2 linked regions of the Mytilus edulis genome follow. The protein of the gene in region 2 binds, or shares a complex with, the protein of the main gene of each other region. Links are inferred from orthologs where the notes say so. Each region holds a gene or a part of one and is shown on either strand. Other genes may lie near its edges.

What was found.
Region 1: the proteins of cold shock domain-containing protein E1-like (region 2) and polyadenylate-binding protein 1-like are in contact, whole or in part, in a crystal structure (PDB 7ZHR), measured with the Drosophila melanogaster proteins. The link is inferred for Mytilus edulis from reciprocal best matches to the Drosophila melanogaster genes Unr and pAbp. Residues at the interface, in NP_648226.2 of Drosophila melanogaster: Leu843, Glu844, Thr845, Thr846, His847, Asn848, Gly849, Val850, Glu870, Ile871, Leu872, Asp873, Glu874, Thr878, Val879, Ile880, Ser881, His883, Leu902, Ile907, Asp908; in NP_476667.1 of Drosophila melanogaster: Asn184, Tyr186, Lys188, Ser211, Lys213, Met215, Phe225, Phe227, Ala229, Tyr255, Ala257, Arg258, Ala259, Gln260, Lys261.

The regions. Positions count from the first base shown.
Region 1 is NC_092355.1:9,891,115-9,903,427, forward strand, and holds the start of polyadenylate-binding protein 1-like, read right to left. Parts: upstream 4,607-12,313; 5' UTR 4,351-4,606; coding exon 4,146-4,350; intron 3,275-4,145; coding exon 3,081-3,274; intron 989-3,080; coding exon 873-988; intron 1-872.
Region 2 is NC_092353.1:68,476,143-68,488,690, forward strand, and holds the start of cold shock domain-containing protein E1-like, read right to left. Parts: upstream 5,224-12,548; 5' UTR 5,148-5,223; intron 3,086-5,147; 5' UTR 2,936-3,085; coding exon 2,897-2,935; intron 2,152-2,896; coding exon 2,026-2,151; intron 1,095-2,025; coding exon 998-1,094; intron 136-997; coding exon 1-135. Other genes in the region: charged multivesicular body protein 2a-like, read left to right, coding at 5,453-5,466, 6,239-6,419, 7,036-7,215, 8,113-8,243, 10,869-10,930. UniProt on the Drosophila melanogaster protein: RNA-binding protein that acts as a regulator of dosage compensation in both males and females.

The sequences.
Region 1 (12,313 bases), on a different chromosome or scaffold from region 2:
AAATGAAAACTCAAACAGTGTTTAAATAATAGGATTGGTCCTTAATATGCAAGATGCAAATATAATTACAATGTAGAAAATAAAGTTGTTTAATGACTCTATCGTGGGTATTGGGACAGAGGATGTTTTCTCTATTTCTGCAAAAAAACGAAACTAAGGCTAAATCTAAATCTAAGAGCTTGCTATCAATTAATAAATTAAAAATGCATATGTTTGTCGATTTGTTTAACTCAATGTACGGTCACCAATCTAAAAGGTTCATGCTTGTGCTAATTTCTTTATTCCAGTCAAATGTGTTCAACGATTCTAACGTTTTTGTGTTTTATTCACAGTCCAAATTTCTTCACACAAAGTCATTTAATAAAATAAATCCAAGTTGTTTTACTCACAAACATGTGTGACATACGGCGATTTGCGTTCTTGGGCACAGCGTATTACTTGTAACCCGAATATTTCAAGCCCTTCTCGTAATCAATCTCTATTCTCGGTAAATGATGTTGTCATCAAAGATCAGCAGAATATATCGACTGAATCATTCAGTAAGAATACGCTAAGAAATACGAAAACCGAAATCTGAAACAGGAAGTTTTAGATGAAACGAAATTATCGACGGTTTATACTGGTATCGGAAATGAACAAAATCCGGAAATCGTATTTTTTTCAAAAATAAAAAAAATCGGGGCGGGAAGATTTCAAAGGGGCGGGCGGGGATGAAAATCTACCATTTAATTTTAATTGGCCCTATGTACAAGTACAAAGGGGCATAATAATGAAGAAATCAAAAGCACAAGTTTTCAACTTTTTCAAACTGAGCTTTTAATTTTCGCATTTATATACTCTATACACAACCAATGATTACAAAGAAAACTTACACTTTCTTTCCATTCAACAACATGCCGTTTACTTTTTCAATAGCATTTCTGGCGGCTTCCTCAGTCTCAAAATGTACAAATCCGTATCCACGTGATCCATGCTCGTCACAGACAATCTAAAAATAAATGTTCCAAAACTTACATATAGTAACAGAATAACGCATGTATAACGAAAGTTATTCAATTATTGACCTTTTTCGAGAAAATTGAATTTGTAACTCCAAAACTTCTGGTCAACTTAGGAAGTTAATATGATTGTGCAATCTGATTAGTCAAATTAATCTGGTTACCTGTTTAATTATACTAGTTACCAGTAACTAGAAAATGTGACCAATGGGGTTGCAAGGTGATATTATAAACTTCTGAAGTTAACCAGAAGTTTTGGAATTAAAAATTCAATGGTCTGGAAAAGGTCAATAATTTTCGACATAAGTGTGTTACTCTGTTTGAGGGGTTTTCTCAAGGGACATGAACCATGTTTTGTTGCAGAGATAAATCAATTACCCACAAACTGGTGTATGTTTAACTATGCATGAAAAATGCAAGGGAAAGTTAATAAATATCGGTTGAAGCAAACACATTGAAAATTTTTGACAGAAACAAATGCCTGTGATAAATTCCTGTGATAAATTCCTTTATTTTACAAAGATCTTTATATTTAGACGGCCTTATTTTTTCATTTTAATTTTTTTTGTGTTCATGTAACATGGTTCTTAGTCATTTTTATCTGTGGAGATACCCACCTATTGAAATGGTGGATCAAGAGGGGGGCATAGAGGGCACCCCCCCCCCCTTCCTTTGCTTTTTTTTTTTGTAAAATGATTAATTAGACTAGACTTCGTGAACTTTGCCATTTCCCGTGTATTTGATTTTCAAGCGACAATTCTTTACTTATAAAGATATTTGTCTCGGATAATTACTAATCATGTCAAAGTCATGTTATTTGCTATGATCATGATGGTGGAGTTCACTGCTGTGTCAAAAATAAAAAATAAAACGTCACTCGGTCATTTTGAAATTCAAATTACAGTTACACATTGCTTTAAAAGCTAAGAATGACAACCATGATACCTTCAAAGCGGCGCAGGATTGAGCAAGAACGTTGTGACTTCTGTTTCACAATTCAACCAAACAGAAAGTAATACTCTAACACACACTCAAAAAAAAATCCACAGCAATATTATTTACCTACGAAAACATGCTTAATCCCAAATGCCCAAGCCTATTTTAAAATGACATGATAGCTAAATTATGTTCCCCAGTCAATATAAGCTCTATATATAGATTTAAAGTCGAAGGTACAAACCATCAGATATGAGGAGGCAGTCCAAGGTATTTGAGAGAAAAAAAATTGACTCTGATTTGTGAATTAAATAAGAATTCTGGTCGTATCTGAACTGAAAACAATAATCTTGTCAACTTTTGTGAGATATTAGAAATGGAAATTTCCAACAGAATTATTTAGCATTAAATGAACATAATGAATAAAAATGTATTTTTTTTAGGTCAGGGTTTGCATGTCTGACCTGAACGTCTGTTTAGCCGAGCTGATATATTGAATACTTTCAAGACCAGACTGCAATCTGCTTGCTGAGTGAGGCCTTTATGTCTAAATTTGTCGACCGTCATTCATAAATTAGTTATCATTTCAGACTCATTTGTAACCTTTGGTTTATTTTGGAACCCCTCACTTCCCTTAATTTTGTTGGGTGAAATATATCAACCAAACATTTGGATAAAGATTGCTTGTTTGACTATTTTAACTTGTGTCGGTAGAATTGTTAATTTCATCAAATAGCCCGGAGTGTTTCATGTTTATTTTTTACTGACAAGTCCCACATCAAATATATAAGTACGTAGCTTTGAATCCATATACTATCATTATCTTTATGATAGACAATTAACAGGGAGAAAACAGTGTAAAATGCACTTTTTAAACGGTTCCTGACGTGGGGCATGTACATGTATATTCTATAGTAGCGGTAAAGTGTAAGGGTTGGACAATTTTTTATACTCCTTATTTCATGTTTTTTAACGGAAAAAAAGATCCCAAAATTTTTTCGACTCGCTCCGCTTGGCAATCTTTAACAACTTCGCATCCCCCTTTCCAAATTCCTGAATCCGCCCCTGCCTTCAATTTTCACAACATAATTTTTTTACTCTCACCTGTCAACAAAAATAAAATCCATTACTTAACAGTTTTCTTACCTTACAGGATAAAATATTTCCAAAGGCAGAGAATGTATCGTATAATGCCTTATTGTCAATGCTTTTGTCAAGATTCTTGATGAATACGTTGCCAACACCAGATTTTCTCAGAGATGGATCTCTTTGTGACCACATGATTCTTATTGGTCGACCTTTGATGGTGTCAAAGTTCATTGTGTCAAGAGCTCTCTCAGCTGCAAAAGATACACGAGTATGTTCAGCCTGCATATTTTGTGTCAAGATTCAATTTCAGAAAAGACATTCACAATCAAACCTGATAACATGTACATTTGTATTAGTTTTTACAAGTTTATAAAAACCTTGAATTTTACATTTTGTACGTACACATGACATATAAATTTATTCTTGTTAGTGAAAACAGTTTGTCAATGAAATATTTTTTTAAGGTACATGTACTTCCAACTTTAAAATTCCAAATTAGAACAACGAAAATAGAAGTCCGCTTTCCAACGGTCAGTTGGAAAAATATGTTGGTCGGAAAGGCCTAAGTGGTGTCTTGAATGAAAACAATAATGACAAAGCAACGCCACAGCAGCTGATTGGCCAGTGTTTTTAAACATAATTTATTTTTGGAAAAATGGAAGATTCAGTGCGAACAAAAAACGAAAAATATGCATTCGTGATTTGAAGGGGTTAAGACCGTGCAGTGTCATCACCTAGTTATCTATGTACTAAACAGCAGACACTATTGATTTTGTGAAATTTTAATCATGTAACACTTCTAGCTTGATCTGACAACCAAGATGATGTTTTTACTTGTCTGAATACGGCATTAACTCATCAGGGCAATTGGACCACCTTAACTTGAGACTTATGTTTGTGATAATGGTATTGTTTAAGTGGGTTTGAATTTTAATTCTACTTTTTTTTTTAAACATGTGAGAGTACAAAAAATGTAGGTCGGAGGTACATTGACTTAATTGCCACTGACAATCTGTCATGTGTCTGGTCTAAGGACTGTGAAATTGAAATGTATGAATGATCACAATTTGAATACATGGAAATGTAAATGTGTTATCAGATATACAACTTTGGATATCTTACCATCTGCTGGCTGCTGAAAGTTGACATAAGCATAACCAAGTGAACGTCTTGTGATCATATCTCTACAGACACGGATACTGAGGACTGGACCTGCTGTTGAAAATTTCTCAAACAACATAGCTTCGGTGACATCTGGGTGAAGATCTCCTACGTACAATGAAGCCATTGGGTAACTTGCTCCAGCCGGATTGATATTAGTCGTCATTTTCAGAGGTTAAAATATGGCGCTGTTGATTGCTAGAAGAAATAAGTTGTTTTCGCTTCTGTTCTATCACAAACCTACCGTTTCAGTAGTTTTTTTAATAGTTTTGTTACTTTTTCAATTTTTTTGTATTTTTTAAAAGTTTTTTAGCTTAATTTCTTCCAGTTTAAGTGTTGTGTGAGACAACTTTTCGCACACAACACACGGCAACCTCACGATTTGAGAAGAGGGATAGGAGAGGTAAATTGCCGCGATCTATATATCATTTGAAACCGGATAATCCTACACTCAAATAATCCAAGAATATCGAAACGAAATCGATATCATTAAACCACTGGCAAGTTATCATTTTCTACTCTTTCAATAATTTTCGAAACGTAAACTTTTATTTTTGTACTCAGTATGAAGAATTATTCTTTATTGAAGGAAAATTTCCAAAGAATTTCCACCAATTTTTTTTTCAAATTGTGACGTGTAATATTACTACGCCGATTCATTAGAGTTATCTCCCTTTTAATCCACGTGTTTTACGGTCATGTATATGACGCAATTTTATTTAACATTTTTAATAGCATGTCAATCTTTTCATCCTGGTCCCTATTGTTTGTGGTCAATGAGTTAATCGACCACCAACATTTACCGTGGGGAGTTGTTAGATGTTGACATACATTATGTAATAAGTGGAACATGAATCAATGCAAAATTGCAAAATTAGAAGTAAAAAAAAAGTTTTTTTTAAAGATCTTTAAACTTGGTTTTAACTGGTTTTTTTTTTTAATCTGCAAGAACTGGAATAAAAAAAATCACAAAAATGCTAAACTCCATGGAAAATTAAAAACGGAAAGTCTACAGCCAGGAATTTCCAAAGGGGGATTATTTGGACTCGCGAACTCAACTTTAACAGTCACAATTCGAACAGAACGTTGACTTTAACAGTGCTTAACACATGACATGGGCAAAATCTCTTTGTTCTTACTGTACTATAATCTGGATAATGCACAGCAAAGGTGTGCATTAACTACCTCAGATATACTGCACAGTTCAAATATATTTTTACCTTTAGGGGCGGTTCCTAGATGTTGACAGGGGCGTTATTCTATCAAATTAAAAAAATATATCACCGAGTGTAGCGAGACTAAAACAATATTGACGATTTTAAGGCAAAACACGATACTTTGTCCCGTGAATCCTAGGGTGAACGACATGTTCGTCCCCACCCCCGAATCCGACTTCTGCCTTGAAATTGCGACAAAATTTAACTTTGTACAAACATCGTAGTTTCAAAATAGGAAAAAAGAAAGGTTTCTCATTCCTTTTTTTTTTCATCTTAGCTTGAACATAAAATTTTTATTATATTTTGCGTAAAACATAAATCTTAAATCAGTGTTTTAAAGTCAGAAAGAGAGTTAAAACAATGTTTGGTCATTTCCGCCAAAAAAGAATTCGAAATGAATCTAAGAATATCCGAATAAAAGAAATCTGATTTGGATTAGTTTTAGACTCAATGGAATTTAATATAACGACTTTTTCAATATCTATTCCTAGCTGGAGATCAATCAGACTTCATTTAGATGGACGTGTCTTAAAAATTAATACAGTAGATACAAAGAAATTTGGGGGAGGGGGAGGAAAAGATTGGAAAGAAAAACGTATTTTCTGTTTATTCAACATTTAAAATTTAGGTAATATAACATCTTCCTCGGTTTATCTTTCTCTATTATTTAAAGCACATCATTGATGGAAAGATATTCAAAAGCAATTAACCTAAACTCAATAACCCTTTCAGTTATGATTTTTTTTCTTCATACAACGATTTGAAGGTACTCAAATTGTCAAAGTCTTAATCGTCACTTATTAAATAAAAAAAAATCGTCCACATCTAAAACGTCGTTCGGGATAAGGGTCACCTGAGCTGTGCAGATTAAATTCTATATACCGACTTGCTTGGTCAATAACTATAACTTATTTGTTTTCAAGGGTGAGGGTCGTCCGAATCCCCCTCCCCTGGCTACGTGTATGGGCTAATCAAAAAGGAGGGTAATACCTTTTTATGTTAACCTGTTTTGACCTTTTTTAAGGTGTTGTTAACTGCGGTTATTTGAGATAAAATTGAATAGTTAACTGTTTCTAACCCACTGTCTGTTATCTGTTCTGCTTTTTTTATTGAAAATGGGACTCCTGTTATAAATATGTTACTTGACACTTAAACTGTTAAAGTGTTCACTGTTTTTGACATAATTTGTCTCTGTGAACTGATCTTCACTGTTATTTACAAGAATGTCAAAGTTAAGATTCAAACTAATCACATTAAATATAATTTTTATCCTTTCAAGAAGTCATAATTATTTGGACTAATATAGGGGGGATAGGACCTTTATCGGGACTCCGGGATCGGGTGTTTTTAAGCTGGGGATTTCGGGATTGACCCTTTCGGGATCCGGGAATTCTTTTTTTCGAATTTCGGGACCTCGGGATTTCATGTTTTTAAGCCCGGGATTTCGGGATTTCGCGGTGTTTTTAACTCCGGGATTTCGGGATCAGGACCCCTCCTATCCCCCCTCTAATATGTTAAGTACTGTCTTAATTTGGAGATCTTTGAGATTTATAGTAATCCTTGATAAAATTGAGAATGGAAATCGGGGGAATGTCTCAGAAGCAACAACCCGCCAAAAGAGTCAGAAAACAGCCCATGGCAAAACTAAAACGAGTCTTCAACACAACGAGAGAATCCTACGCCAGAAGCTGATTTTAAGAGAGCAATCATTTTAAATTCAAGCAAGAAGGGAATACCCGGGTAACTAGTTCATATAAAATGGACTTCACTACAATAAAGTCCGAAACGAATCAAAATTGACAAAAAAATCAAGAGGTATATATGGCTGAGGTTCCACAAAATTGTTAACATATCAACGCTCCCCCTATACTTCTAACCGGGTCCCATGTAGTTCATTTCTGTCTCCTATTAATAATTGATCCAAAGTTAACAGCAGGGGCCACTTCACACCCAGCTAAAACCCTGGTCAGTCCCAAGATAAAATCATTCAAGATGATACAGAAAGTGTGATAAGTTACATTGACCCAGAGCACCGTAATGGAGTTGTGTCGGAAAAATAAACTGTACTGTTTGAATTTGCAATTCGAAAAATAATTGAACAGTGAGACCTGTTAGAAGAGGCAGACACATCAGGACTTGGTTCTCAAATTGATGCCAAACTTGCTACCTTCAGAAATGTGAAGATGGACAAAAGTCTTTTTCTATATAAGCTATAAGTTCTTGGGACGTTTAGATGGAAGAATCTTGTGACACCTTACAGGGTACTTGGTGATTTATACATTGATTTTAATTATTTGCAATAAAAATCAGTAATCTTTTCAATTCATTTTTATAAAAGCTTATAAGCTACGAGTCGTATGAATACACCGATATGTACCCATAATTTATTAGGGTCCCAACCATAATGGTTAGACCTTATTGTAATAACTCTGTCTGTCTGTCACACTTTCATACGTTGCACGATTACCAAGGTTTGCTTCAACTGATTGAAATAAAACGTAAACACAAAAATACACATAACCAGAGAATCGATAATTCATGTCTGAAAAATTGGAATATGCATGGCTGGTGAGGCCTTTCATGACTGCGTATAGTCATTTTTCTAGCACTCCGTCTGCCTTTCGATCCGTTCAATTGTCTGTTCATGTGTCCAGCATAAAAGAAATGGTAGTTGTGTGCAACCTGAAACTTTATCATCTTTATTAAAGATTCATTAGGTCTTTGCATTTCTGCCACTTTGTACAGTGGTTCTGAACTCATTGAAGGTGTGCATTTCCCCTTTTCATTGCTTTTGTGTTTATTTGGGAAAAAAGTGTAGATTAAAGCTGGTGTTAACTGTACTCAGCATTTTAAATTTTTTGTTAATTATTTTTGTCAAAATTGAGGTGTTGTTAACCCTATTGCCCCCTCATCAAACGGCAAAATCAAAAGCTGAAACACACCAAAGGAATGGATATCACAACAACCAGGCGAATCCGGAACTTTTTATAAGGGGTACCCACTGACTTTCCTAAGGGTGGGCTGCTCCAGCCATGCCTCTGTGATTCCCTATGTAATCAAACAAATGTTTCCAACATAATGGACCCGGCACCTCCACCCTCCTTTTGGGCCAACCTTTCATGACAACTGTCATATTCCTGACTTGGTACCGGCATTTTTTTATGTGGATTAAACCTGGCCTTGTATGACTTATAGCTTGCTTAACCTCTCACTTGAAAATGTAAAGAAGGCTTGGAACTGGCATTTGTTTACATCGGTTTGGAAGGGTAGCATTTCATTACTCAATAAAAGGCTTAGACTATTTTTGTGGTTCCTTTAAGAATTTATGGATATATTTTTTAATTTTAATGAAAATTATGAAAGGTTGCAAGATGGCTTACTGTGTAGTGTTAATTTCCAAAAAATCTTATAATTTTCAATGGTTTTCATTCCGGTTTTATTGTTGTGCGTTTGTTTTTCTACATTGGCTAGAGGTATATAGACGATAGATGAGATCTCCAAAAAAAAACATGTTTAACCCCGCCGCAATTTTGCGCCTGTCCCAAGTCAGTAACCTCTGGCCTTTGTTAGTCTAGTATCATTTTTAATTTTAGTTTCTTTTGTATAATTCGGAGTTTAGTATGACGTCCATTATCACTGAAATAGTATGCATAGTTGTATAGGGGCCAGCTACATTGAAGACCCATTAGTTACCTTCGGCTGTTGTCTGCTCTATGGTCGGGTTGTTGCCCATTTCCATTCTCAATTTTATTGAGTGGTGTCTGTGTTGCCCAGACTAAAATTTTATGACTATGATGTGTTATTTGTACTTTTCTTCTGATCGTAAGACAGATTGAAAGAATTGGTTCAACTTGATACAAATATCAATTCGCAACTAACAAAAATATATATACCTAATAAATACAAGGGGTGAGGTATTTCAACTGACATCTTAACGGCGCTTCACCAGCTTTCACAACTCGTTTGGTATTTAAGAGCTTGCAGCTGCTACTTAGACTTTATAAAACGTCACAAGTGCATGAGCACAAAGCTGACAAACCAGGATTATGTCAAAGAATGTATCGTGCTTTATCGAAAAAAGTTCATTGGACGAAACCAAAGCCTTCAACTTGTTGATAGATATTCCGTATCAACTTCATAAACAATACATGATGGTCTAGATCTTGAAGTCAGTATTCTAGGCTGATTTATCATCTTAAATACCTGCTATGATGTTCCTTTTATTTGTCTTTGTATATACATTTTTAACCTTTACAGTTGATATAAAAAGAAGATGTGACATGATTTCCAATGAGACAAATCACTACAATAGACCAAATGATGCATAATTTAATAACTGTAAGACATTCAACAATGAGCAAAGCCCATACCACATAGTCAGCTATAAAAGGCCCCGAAATGTCATGTTAAAAGAAATTCAAACCAGAAAACTAAAGGTCATTTACAGGTTCCTGACTTAGGACAGGCGCATGATACAGAATGTGGCGGAGCTAAACTAGTTTGTTGGCGTCAACCCCACCCTAACCTGGAACTTTTTATCAATCCGTTCACATATCTTATATCCAACGGGTTTCATTAATATAGTGTTAAGTACAGCTCTTTATAAGAACCAGGCAGTGTGCCATATACATGTGATACATGGGGGGTTTCAGATTTTATCTATATTTGGCCTAGTAGAAGCAATACGTGAAAAACGCTTAAAAAATAATTTTGAGTGGGAAAATATGAGTGGTTGCCATGGTAACAGACACACAATTTTTTGGTTGTTAAGCGTTGTAAAATCTTTCAAAAATCAGCGAAATCACCACATTTCAGAGCCTGAATATGAATACAATCATGCATTTTTCATTAATTTTCATATATAACATTGATAGAACTTGGTTTAAGCTTCATTTTAGTGAAGATTGCATGTCAGCCAAATTTGTAATTTTTTGGTAAAATTTTGTGAAAAAATGCATATTTTCAACTTTTCTGAAATTGGGATTTTTGCTGAATTACCACATTTTCTCTGGTGTTTTTCAGAAAAGTGCAAATGTGTACAGAATAGTTAGCACTGTAGTTATGAAGTTTGGATACTACTTTACCAAATTTAATAGAAAAATGTGTGGGATTTTTTTTAGTTTTATCACCATAGCAACCGATTTTTTCCTTGGAAACGGAGTTTTCATTTGCAGAATATTGCAGTTTAAGAGCTTAAATGTCCTGAATTTTTCATAACCGATAAGAAAAATACATAAAAGCTAACGAAAACTTTAAATAGCAATCGTTAAGTGTTGTTGACTTCAATTGTTACCACGGAAAGACATATTATCCATAGCATCATCCACCAAAAACCTGCATAAATAGAAATTTATGTACAAAAAACATATAAATAAAGCGTTCAAAAAAGTCTTTGCTTCACTCACAGTCTTGTCTGGAATTTTTTCTTCAGATTGTTCAATAAATGTAATATGTCATGAAACATTAGGGTTGGGGGGGGGGGGGGGGGGGCTTTGGAGAATGGGGGGGAGGGTATAAGTTGATTTGTTTAAATGTTGCATACATTAGTAGATACTTAAAAGATAATTGCGTTTCGTCGTCCGAAGAATCATTGGTTTTCGCACTTTAACTTTAGTTAAAGTTAATAGAAATCTATGAAATTTATACACACGGTTATTTACCACAAAAAGAAGGTTGGGATTGATTTTAAGAGTTTTGGTCCCAATAGTTTAGGAATTAGGGGCCAAAAAAGGGCCCATTTAGACATTTTTCTTGATTTTCACACAATAACTTCAGTATAAGTAAATAGAAATATATGAAATTCAAACACAATGTTTAAGAACACAAACGAAAGGTTGGGATGGATTTTGGGAGTTTTTGGTCCCAAAAGTTTAGGAATTAGGGGCCAAAAGGGGCCCAATTAAGCATTTTCTTGGTTTTCGCACCATAACTTTAGTATATGTAAATAGAAATCTATGAAATTTTAACACAAGGTTTATGACCATAAAGGAAGGTTAGGATTGATTTTGGGAGTTTTGGTCCCAACAGTTTAGTAATTAGGGACCAAAAGGGTCAAAATTAAACTTGAATAATTGGGGTTCTTAAATACTAGTATGCCGAATCTGAACTGTGAATGCATATTCTTAATTTTTGGTCCCGTTTTCAAATTGGTCTACATTAAGGTCTAAAGGGTCCAAAATTAAATTTACTTTGATTTTAACAAAAAATGAATTCTTGTGGTTCTTTGATATGATGAATCTAACCATGTATTTAGAATTGGGATATTGGACCATAATAGGTAAGTTTAAGTTCTTAGACCACATTCATTCTGTGTCAGAAAACTATGTTGTGTCAACTATTCGCAATCCAAATTCAGAGTTGTATCAAGGTTTAATGTTGTGTCCATACTGTTCAGGATTCGGACTCTGCGGTCGTATAAAGGTGTGCTCTGTGGAGCAACTGGTTTAAGGTTGACAGGTGATGAACTTCATGGGATTGCAAAAGCCGGGCCAACCTGGCTTATGGAAAGGCAAGATATATATGGCCCTAACAAACGTAAGACAATTCGTAATTTCTTATGGCACACATCCGTCTGAGATGTTATTCCACCAGCTTGAATCACAAAATTGACCCGTAACATAATATTAACAAACCAATAATAGAATTATTTGGTCAATGCATTTCTAAACTGAAACTGAAGTGTGATGGACGGGTGGATAAAGAGGGAAAGGCAAATTGAACACATTTTAAGTTGGTGGTGATTTAAACAAAAAATAATAGGCAATGGGTGATAGCTAATATCGGTAGTCCAGTATAATGGAAATTCTCTTAATATATACATGTAGCTATTAACATATCATTAATAACTGCTTTGTTGTACTACTATCCCGCAAATGAAATTCATGATCTACGCGATAGACAAATAGAATACAT
Region 2 (12,548 bases):
CTTGTGCAATAGATCCTGTAAACTTCTCCTCACTCAAAACTTCATAAGATTGACTTCCAGAATTTAACAATACAATATGGCTTGCTACCGGTTTACCAGTCCTACGGTCATAGGTCATCTGGAACTCTACCGGGTCTGTTATATAGGAAAGTTATTATATCATTATATATATATATATATATATAATTTAAAAGTAAAAAACACAAAAAATCACATCATAAATCGAACATTGTTTCTGTTAGCGCTTTCACCGCATCTCCAGCGGTTCATCAGACAGAATTGTTATCGTTAATAGTAACGATTTTATTTATCAAAATATATATATATATATGTTTGTCCTATCAAATAATAGCTATGGTGACCATGTGATTTCAAAGACATTTTAGAATTAATGTTTCAATAGGAAAACAATTAAATATTCTGTACATGCCTGTTCAAATTCATTCAGAGGTTGTCATTGGATACTGTTAACTATTCTTGTTTTTTGTGTATTGCTAATCATAAATCAAGTCGTCGTGAATATGGGCTAAGGCAGGTCTTATGTGTTCACATTTGAATTGTTTCATATTTTGTTCATGTCATGTGGTTTGTAATAAAAGGTTGTCTCATTGGCAATCATACAGCATCGACTTAGGCTTTTAAATATTTTATTTACAGTAAATGTCTAGCATAAACTTCACAGAAGGAACACAGTACACTGTGTCTTTTTTTAAATCCGAAGTCAGATCAAGTTCTGTGCATTCAAAAAAACATTAGTAAGTGCTTTATTGTGATTTTTAAAGAATGGAAAAAACATTAAAATATAGGAAAATCTGCTTTAAGATAGATATGTGTATCAGATATCAGAATGCAAGTCCATATCATTGCCATACTAACTAATTTGCATTAATAAAAACCTCACAGTATTTTCTAAGAAAAACAGAACTTAATAAAGCTGCATAATTACTGAAAGCGAGCAGTGTGATGAATTATAATAAAGTTTAAAACAAGTGCTAACCTCCAATTTTAACCAAGTTAATATCATCTCCATATTCACTAAAATGAAAGAAGAGTCGTGAATCCCTTTCACAACACTGAATAAATCCATAGGAATGCTGAAAGTAAAACAGAACATGTTAGCGCTATAAAACCAGGTTCAATCCACCATTTTCTACATTTGAGAATGCCTGGACCAAGTAAGGAATATGACAGTTGTTGTCCATTCGTTTGATATGTTTTAACATTTGATTTTGCCATTTGATTAGGGACTTTCCGTTTTGAATTTTCCCCAGACATTTGTCAGAGTTCAGTATTTTTGTTATTTTACTTTTTACAAGCTGTTTATAAAACCTCATCTGAAAATTTCTTCCAAAATTAATAGATATAGGAAGATGTGGTGTGAGTGCCAATGAGACAACTCTCCATTCAAATAACAATTAAGCAAAGATTTAAACATGTGAAAGCTCTCTCACGGGCAAAACAACCAATAACTGAAAAATATAAGGGCATACACTAAACATTTTTTTTTATTATATTATGAATAAAAGCCTTTAAAGTTTTATTTAATTCACAATTATGATTTAAATATTGATTGTTGGTTGCTTAACATCCACCTGTAAATATTTAATGCATGTTCAGGACAGCACAATTATGAAACTATATATACTGACAAATTGCTTGATCTCAAAGATTTTTTTTCTATTTCCATGCGAAACCATTTCACCATAAATGTATCAATCAATTATTGTTAAGGTGGTACCCAACACTTGCACTAAAATTAATTTGGGTCGTTTAATTTTCTTAAAATTTTGACAAAGTATTTACTTTGACCCTTTTACAAAAATATAAAAATTTCAAAAAATTTGAACCAACCGTTTTATCAGAAAAATTACACTGGTTATATAGCAGTTTGACAAACACTTATTTTGATCATTGAGAAGCTTAATATTCTCTTAACAACACAACGTAATTAAAACGTTTAGCTGATTTTACAGAGTTATCTTCCTGTAGTGTTAGGTACCACCTTAAATGAATTCAAATATTTACCAAAAGCTTCTCAATAAATCCTGTTTCTCTCCCTACTCCATTGCTGTTGATGTGTGAATTGATCACTGGTGCTGTGGCTCTTTGAAATGACACGATTGCAGGATCTTGTGTGGACGGCTGGAAATTCTGATATAACAAAAACATATTTTATCAAATTTCTTGTACAGGTTATAGATCATGTAGATTTGACATGTTTTAAAAATGTTGTGGGTTTTTTTTGTGTTTATTTTAAAGTGAAATTCTTTTAACAGTGTAGTGTACTACTTTTAAGACAATTTTTTCAAAACTATAAAATTTATATTTTCTACCACTCAGACTCAAAATATGGACAATAATATGAATTAAAATTCAGTTTGATAGTTTCAGACATAATTTTTTTATCTTCTTCAACTCCACCAAATAATCACTTTAATTTACTTTAAAACTCCAAACCAAAATTTAAATGTAATTTCACCCAACCCTCTGCTATTCTACTTATTATTTTATATAAATGCATTATACATTTGGAATTTGTATGTAAAAAATGTACAAGTAACACATTTTCAATAATAGGAACTATATTTGTTTTCATCCAAAAAATCAAAAACTCTTCATAGATACCAGGATTGAAAGTTTTGCCAACTACTGCTAATCTATTCCCGAGGTTGAAAGTCCTATGTATTTGAAAAAATCAAAGTTTTGTAAGCAGTTAATTTATAATTATGACCACCAATGATATCAACAATAATTCATGTGAACACAGAAGTGCTGACTACTGGGCTTGTGATACCATCGGGAATAAAAACTCTACCTGCAGGCCAGTGACATTGACACAGTGGATGATAAATGTTTTCTTGGACCAAAATGAATCACTAATTTAAAATATACATGCCTTCCACTGAGGACTGTTCAACTTCTTTACAGCTGACATAGTTGTTTTGTTTCCTTGGGAGTTTCCTAGTCCTCAGAAGTGCAGTCTGTGCAGTTAAGTTCTTTTATGGGCTTTTGTTGTTTATTTCTTCCTTTGTTTGTTTTGGTTTTTTTCTCAGTTTCTGATGCTGGGTGGTACTACATCTATGGGCTAAAATATGAAAAAAAAGAATGTGATTTTTTTTGGGTTGGTTATTTGATTAAGTTTTATTTGTTTGGTAATAAAAAAGTATAACCTAATTATTTTCAAGCTGAACTCACCAATTTACTAAAGAAGATTTACATGTTAAACAGCCGAGATTGATGTTTTGTGCAAAACATGGTACAGTGTACATGTATATTAACCAAAATACATAAAAACTTGATTCCTGCCTCCTAACAGAAAAAATTGGGTACCAAGAAGGTAGGTGATTTTTTTTCTTTTATTATATTACTTTGGAAATGCACTTGTCATCTTGTATAATATTAATATTTGTGTGTTGATTTTGACAGATCTGAACTTCCAGAAAATATACAAAACGTTCTGGAAATTCAAGTCTGTAAAATTTTAATGAGTTCTGAGTAAACAATTATTCTAAACTATTCTAAAGTGAAGGAATGTCAGAAATCCAGGAAACCATTCATTGATATTCAATTCGCAACAGAAAAAACAAGTGTAACTGTGAGCAACTGCTCACTGATGATACCCCCGCCGCAAGTGGATAATGTTAAGTGTTCGGTAAACAGGAAGTTGCCGAGTGATGAATCTGAAAACGCATCACACAGTATAGCTGACTTATATAAACCCTGAAACCAAATTTCAGAAATCCTGGCATTGTAGTTCCTGAGAAAAATGCGACGAAAATTTTCAACTTGGCCATCATGTGTAAAATGATAGTAGTGTTCGGTAAACAGGAAGTTGTTGAGTGATGAATCTAAAAACGCATCACACGGTATAGCTGACTTATATAAATCCTGAAACCAAATTTCAGAAATCCTAGAATTACAGTTCCTGAGAAAAATGCGACGAAATAAAATGGTAAGTGTTCGGTAAACAGGAAGTTGTCGAGTGATGAATCTGAAAACGCATCACACGGTATAGCTGACTTATATCAAGTCTGAAACCAAATATCAGAAATCCTGGTAGTGCAGTTCCTGAGAAAAATGTGACGAAAAATTTTCAACTTGGCTATCAGGTGTAAAACTGATACAAGTGTTCGGTAAACAGGAAGTTGTCGAGTGATGAATCTGAAAACGCATCACACAGTATAGCTGTCTTATATCAAGCCTGAAACCAAATTTCAGAAATCCTGGTAGTGTAGTTCCTGAGAAAAATGTGACAAAAAATATTCATGGGACGGACGGACTGACTGACAGACTGATGGAAGGACAGACAGAGGTAAAACAGTATACCCCCCTTTTTTTCAAAGCGGGGGTATAATAACGACACCAAAGAAAGACATCACAGCAAATATTAAAATTGCCTTTTCACGTCAAAATTTTTAGGAACAAGTGTCTTCATGAAAGATGATGAGAATACACCTTACAGCTATTTCTCCGCCATTCCTGGACATCTCAAAGGTTACTGTAAAATGTTGAACTCATAATAGAATATATATCTGAAGCCACAATGGAAAAGCAATTGGTGTATGATTCTCAGGTCTATAGGCAGATATTTCTAAATAGCGATAAGGTGTATGATCCATGCCATGGGAAGTAGCCTGAAGGAGAACCTGTCCCTTGTATTAACTAAACTGGATGTAAATTATACTTTAATTAAATCGTAAAACACAGTTTATCAAACAAAACAATGTAAAGTCAGTCTATATATCATTGTAGAATGTTTTAAGTTCACAGTCTATTGATTTATTTAATTTGAAAAGAAGCCAAATAAAAGACCAATCCCCATTCCATGAGGATTTGGTTCTATAAAACACTGTTTAATAAATTTTTCAAATAAAGTGAGATATATATACAATTTTCGCCTAATAATAAAAATATATTGCGTAATTTTAAGGTTATGAATTTGTTAAAACCAGGTGCATGAATTTATTGCACTAAGTACGTATTGCGCAAATCCATCAGCTGACGTTGACGGTTTGAAAATACGGGTTTATGCACTACAAAGGACAACTAAAATACTAAAAATATAAACGTTGAATGTTTTTCTATTATTTCGTTTATGTTATTAATGAAACTTCCATCATAATTCACCATAATAAGTGAAATTTTACCCCAAATTTTGCACAGCACTGCAGCATAGCCGCCATCAAACTCTCGAACTCATTAATTTATTGAAATTTTAGAACTGAAAGATTATTTGTTCAGTTTTACAGAATTATTTACAGAATATTTTTAATGACAGATTTTGCATTAAAGAGAAATAAATAAACAAAAATGCAAAACATAAACATAACTTTTATTTTGTTTTAGAGACTAACCACATTCTCCGTGACGTCATTGTCAAAATACACATTGAAGCAATTTCCTGACTCAGAGTCACTCATTCCTTACAACTCACATTTAGAAGGTAAAATTAATGTTGAACAAATGGTTAAGAAGTAAAAGATAAACACACAAAATTTTGACTGCAAAATTGAGGTGTCATTCTGATTCCCATAGAAGTCAAACAAATTATAACTGAACTGTCAAATTCTTGAGTTGTTACAGGCATTTTTCTGAAGATATATTTATGGGGGATTAAACTTATAACAGCCTTTTTTATTTCACCAAACTGATGAATAATAATTTGAGGATAGGGTCAGAAACATAGAAACGACAAGAGTGACAATAATGTCAATAAACTTCATATTTATGGTCAGCAATGGACAGTTTGCGTACCTCATATGATTTCGTAATTTTCGTACTATATATTTTTCAATGGAAATTGTGACATCACAATCATTCTTAATAGCACAAACAAACAAAAAAACATGTGTCGACATGGATGAGGATAAGAGACCAAGATCAAAATCAAAATAATATTGCAGCATTTTAATTTAAGCTTTCAAGACGTGACCGCCATATTTCCATGGCATCCATAGATTGTATTGTCAATGAAACATATCGTTCATACCCTGTAAAGACTCATTGTCCACACTAAGTTTTAATTCCAGTGAGCATGTTATAACATAAAATATAATAAAACAACACTACCAATGACAATGTATCCGCTTGAACTCAGCTATGGTGCTGTGTTTTTATAGTGATCATGGTTCATATTTCCTTTACAATTTCTTGACAAAAGCCTAATTAATACTTTTTTGCATTTACTCTCATTTTGTAGCGTTTAATCTACAAGGCATAACTTTCACTTGTTTTCCAGTGTCAACATGCCTTTAGAATGGCTCTTTGGAAAGAAAAAGACTCCGGAGGAAATGTTACGACAGAATCAAAGGGCATTAACCAAAGCAATGAGAGATCTGGATAGAGAAAAAGCCAAAATGGAACAACAAGAGAAGAAAGTTATTGCTGATATTAAGAAAATGGCAAAGCAAGGACAGATGGTTTGTTCATCTTAATTTTACTTCCTGCTTTAATGTTGATGTGCACATTCTCCAATGGTTTAACTGTTTTTCAAGCATAATTGTGAAATAATTGTAGGAAGAGAATTTTCAGACATTTTACATATGATCAAAATAGTGCTTGCTCAGGTGTAGGAGATGATGTTCCTTTACCATTGTTTACCTATAATTTAATTTATCATTGTATTTTTCTGCTTAGCATGCATTTGTGTCATCACAATTTATAAATTTCCAATTCTGTGTGACAAGAATTCAATTGTTTATACTCATGAAAAAATAAATGCAAGAATAAATGGTAGAATTACCCAAAAGATTTGACTGAACATGAAAACCGACATTGTTAGTACATGTATAAAACAAGTGAATCCTGTGGTTCAATTTAATCACTAATCAAAAACACTTTTACAAAACTAAGTCATATATTTCTGGTTCAACAAGGCGAAGCAAAAATATCTTTATGGTAGTCCAATTCAGAAAGAATATTTGTAAGGTATTTTTGTTACTCATACATGTATGCCATGTTTTGGGTTTTTTTTAGAAAAAAGAATAACCATTTGTATTTTCATGGAATAAATGTTTATATGTTTCTTTATTTTAGGATGCTGTAAAGATTATGGCCAAAGATTTAGTTCGAACAAGACGTTATGTGAAGAAGTTTATTTTGATGAGAGCAAACATACAGGCTGTGTCACTAAAAATACAGACATTAAAATCAAATAATGCTATGGCCAATGCAATGAAAGGGGTTACAAGAGCCATGCAAACAATGAACAAACAGGTAAACCAGGGACCATGTTGGTGGTTGTCTCATGTCATATATCTCAATAGTTTTTTGTGAAATGTAATTAAAGCCGATTGCATTGAGTGTGTAGGTAAAGGTAATATCTTTGGTTAGCTTGCTTGCTAGCTGAACCGTAAGTTAATATTAGGTAAGGTATACTACCCTCCTTTCGAAGTAGTCTAGTCCTACATACAGATAGATAGGTCCATGGTTATCTGTCGGACTAGTCTACTCTAAAAGGAGGGTTGTTTACCATACCTAATAATGACTTCACTCAATGCAATCGGCTGTAAATGTTGTCAGCATATCTTTGATTGTTGTTTTATATTTATTACAACTTTAATAGACTTTGTAAGTTTGGTGCTTAACATACTTTTTAGACAGACAGCTATTGCTGAAGACTCTTGTCCTCTAGATCATGAAGTCTTTTGGTTGTTTTATGATTGGGTTGCTGTCTCATTGACAAATAACCACCGATCTCCTTAATTTTGTTCAAAATGTTTATTATATAAATACTGCTGGCCTACATTGAGTGAAATAGCAAAGTTTAAGAAAAACTTCCATTTAGGAATATATTCAAAAGTTTTTAGGTATTACAAACTACCTTAATTACAAGAGGAATTTCTTGTATCCTCACGCTTTCTGTTAATTTTCCACGTTCATGTATTTGTATTATTCTGCTTTTAAATAGTATTAAGAAAGGAAATATGTAAACTTACTTATTTTCTAAAAAATGTAAATTAATGAGATACAAAGTCAAAATGAAAGTCGAAGGGTTTTACATGTATAACATATCCTTATTATTGCAAATAAATTATGAAATCATGGATGAACATAGGTGTTAGTGAGTTCAATTGCATCCAAAGTAATTAAGACGTTGTATTAATTCTGCAGTTGAAGCTTCCACAAATTCAGAAGATAATGATGGAGTTTGAAAAACAATCAGAAATAATGGAAATGAAAGAAGAAATGATGAATGATGCTATAGACGATGCTATGGGTGATGAAGACGATGAAGATGAAAGGTATGGTGACATTAAAAAGATATAGGAAGATGTGGTATGAGTGCCAATGAGACAACTCTCCATACAAGTCACAATTTATAAAAGTAAACCATTATAGGTCAAGGTAAGGTCTTCAACATGGAGCCTAGGCTCACACTGAACAGCAAGCTATAAAGGGCCCCAAAAATTACTAGTGTTAAACCATTCAAATGGGAATTAAAAGTTAAAAGTACATTATTCATTGATGGCACATATTGATGAAAAAGCTGTTTATTTTTAAGTAATAAAAAAATTTAAACATTGATTTTATTGCCTGAAGCTATTTGAAATTTTCAGGCTTTTAATCTAAAAAATTATATTACACCAATGTTAGCCTTACCAATAATGAAAGGCAAGGTACAGCAGAATTATGTAAAAGCCTTTCTAGTTTATGCATAAACATGTGAAGAAATGAAATGTAACCATGTTTGTTATGCTTTTCTTTCACGTCTTACAAGTTTTATGAAGTGTTGACATTTACACCCAAAACAGGAAAAAAAAGCTACTATTTTATGGGGCTGACTGTTTATTATTTTTCAACCCTTGATGAAATCATCTGAATTCCAACACCTTTGGTCAAATAAAACATGGAGCACAGGATTGAACAAACAAAATATTCAAGTTAGATTTTGGCCTGCTTGTAAAATAAAGTTATTTCCATTTTTTTCTCTTTTTATAAGACCGCAAAAATTGTAAATATATGTCGTATATTGGTATGACGTTGTCTGCGTCGTCGTCGTCCGAATACTTTTAGTTTTCGCTCTCTAACTTTATGAAATTTAAACACAAGGTTTATGACCATAAAAGGAAGGTTTGGATTGATTTTGGGAGTTTTGGTCCCAACATTTTAGGAATAAGGGGCCAAAAAGGGCCCAAATAAGCATTTTCTTGGTTTTCGCACTATAACTTTAGTTTAAGTTAATAGAAATCTATGAAATTTTGACACAAGGTTTATGACCACAAAAGGAAGGTTGGGATTGATTTTGGGAGTTGAGGTCCCAACAGTGTAGGAATTAGGGGCCAAAAAGGGGCCCAAATAAGCATTCTTGGTTTTTCGCACTATAACTTTAGTATAAGTAAATAGAAATCTATGAAATTTAAACACAAGGTTTATGACCATAAAAGGAAGGTTGGGTTTGATTTTGGGAGTTTTGGTCCCAACAGTTTAGGAATAAGGGGCCCAAAGGGTCCAAAATTGAACTTTGTTTGATTTCATCAAAAATTGAATAATAGGGGTTCTTTGATATGCCGAATCTAACTGTGTATGTAGATTCTTAATTTTTGGTCCTGTTTTCAAATTGGTCTACATTAAGGTCCAAAGGGTCCAAAATTAAACTTAGTTTGATTTTAACAAAAAAATGAATCCTTGGGGTTCTTTGATATGCTGAATCTAAAAATGTACGTAGATTTTTGATTATTGGCCCAGTTTTTAAGTTGGTCCAAAATTAAACTTTGTTTGATTTCATCAAAAATTGAATAATTGGGGTTTTTTGGTATGCCAAATCTAACTGTGTATGTAGATTCTTAATTTTTGTTCCTGTTTTCAAATTGGTCTACATTAAAGTCCAAAGGGTCCAAAATTAAACTAAGTTTGATTTTAACAAAAATTGAATTCTTGGGCTTTTTTGATATGCTGAATCTAAACATGTACTTTTTGATTATGGGCCCAGTTTTCAAGTTGGTTCAAATCAGGATCCAAAATTATTATATTAAGTATTGTGCAATAGCAAGAAATTTTCAATTGTACAGTATTGTGCAATAGCAAGAAATTTTCAATTGCACAGTATTGCGCAATAGCAAGAAATCTTCAATTGCACAGTATTGTGCAATAGCAAATATTTTCAATTGCACAGTATTGCGCAATACCAAGAAATATCTAATTGCACAATATTGTGCAATAGCAAGAAATTTTCTATTGGAGTTATCTTTCTTTGTCCAGAATAGTAGTTGAATCAACTTAAATCATTGTTTTATACAATATACAATGTATATTCACTTTTACTACCAACTGATAAATTAAAACAATCTTTACCATTCAGTGATAACAAGCACTTTATTTTACATTTTAATATTTTATGATGTATTTAAATGAGTAGTTATTGTTGTAAACTTCATTAGAAATTTGAATTGAGATCAGTTTTGGAAAAAAGGGAAAGGGGGATTTGAAAAAAAATGGGGGGGGGGGGTTCAATTTTTCTCATTTCAGATTTCATAAATAAAAAGAAAATTTCTTCAAGCATTTTTTTGAGAGTGTTAATATTCAACAGCATAGTGAATTACTCAAAGGCAAAAAAAATATTTTAAGTTCATTAGACCACATTCATTCTGTGTCAGAAACCTATGCTGTGTCAACTATTTAATCACAATCCAAATTTAGAGCTGAATCCAGCTTGAATGTTGTGTCCATACTTGGCCCAATGGTTCAGGGTTCAACCTCTGCAGTCGTATAAAGCTGCGCCCTGGGGAGCATCTGGTTTAATTTATATATACATGCCTCATACATTCTTTTGGTATTTTGTTCACCAAAAAATTATGCTGATCCTATTTGGACACACTACTTAAAATTGTTGTTCTAAACTATCAATTTCTTAATGTTTTCTCTTTCAGTGATGCTATAGTTTCTCAAGTTTTAGATGAATTAGGTTTACAACTGACAGATGAATTATCAGGTATGTCCTATTATTTGAAATTAGGTTTACAACTGATATATCAATTGTCTACTGTTGATTCAAATTTTTCATTGGATACTGAGGGGGTCTCATTGGGGGGTTCCGATCCCGGATCCCGCTTACTGTTTTGTCAGATTCCCTTATCCCGCTTACACTATGTACATAAGCAATTCTCATTTTTAGCTCACCTGACCTGAAAGGTCAAGTGAGCTTTTCTCATCACTTGGCGTCCGTCGTCCTGCGTCCGTCGTCCGTCGTCTGTCGTCCGTCGTCCGTAAACTTTTACAAAAATCTTCTCCTCTGAAACTACTGGGCCAAATTCTACCAAACTTGGCCACAATCATCCTTGGGGTATCTAGTTTAAAAAATGTGTGGCTTGACCCGTCAAACCAACCAAGATGGCCGCCATGGCTAAAAATAGAACATAGGGGTAAATTGCAGTTTTTGGCTTATAACTCAAAAACCAAAGCATTTAGAGCAAATCTGACAGGGGTAAAATGGTTGATCAGGTCAAGATCTATCTGCTTAGAAATTTTCAGACGAATAGGACAACCTGTTGTTGGGTTGCTGCCTGTGAAATGGTTATTTTAAGGAAATTTTGCAGTTTTTGGTTATTATCTGGAATACTATTATAGATAGAGATAAACTGTAAACAGCAATAATGTTCAGCAAAGTAAGACCTACAAATAAATAAACATGACCAAAATTGTCAGTTGACCCCTTAAGGAGTTATTGCCCTTTATAGTCAATTTTTAACAATTTTTCGTCATTTTTTGTAACTTTTCTAAAAATCTTCTTCTCCAAAACTACTTTGCCAAATTTAACCAAACTTAGCCACAATTATCATTGTGGTTTATAGTTTAGAAAATGTGTCCGATGACCCAGCCTACCAAACAAAATGGCCGACATGGCTAAAATTAGAACATAGTGGTAAAATGCAGTTTTTGCTTTATATCTTTGAAACTAAGACATTTAGGGCAAATCTTTCAAGATTTAAATGTCCATCAGAATAAGATATATCCCCTCACAAATTTTGAGTTGAATCGGACAACCTGTTGTTGGGTTGCTGCCCTAAAATTGGTGATTTTAAGGAAATTTTGCAGTTTTTGGTTATTATCTTGAATACTATTATAGATAGAGATAAACTGTAAACAGCAATAATGTTCAGCAAAGTAAGATCTACAAATAAGTCAGCATGATCAAAATTGTTAGAGGACCCCTTAAGGAGTTATTGCCCTTTATAGTCAATATTGAACAACTTTTCGTCATTTTTGTAACTTGTATAAAAATCTTTTCTAAAACGACTTGGCCAAATTTAACCAAACTTGGCCACAATCATAATACTAGGGTATCTATTTTTTTTTTTAAAGTGTCTAATGACCCCGCCTACCAATGAAGATGGTCGACATCAGTAAACACATTAACAGGTGAGCGACACAGGCTCTTGAGAGCCTCTAGTTTTGTCATTTCCCGGGTCCCGCTAGACCACATTTCCCGTTTTCACGACACAATAATTTGACTTTCCCGTGTCACGCTTACCAAATATCGGCAATCCGGCATCACGCTTAGACCCCAATGAGACCCACTACTGATTTTCGAATTTGTGGGTAAGGTGAAC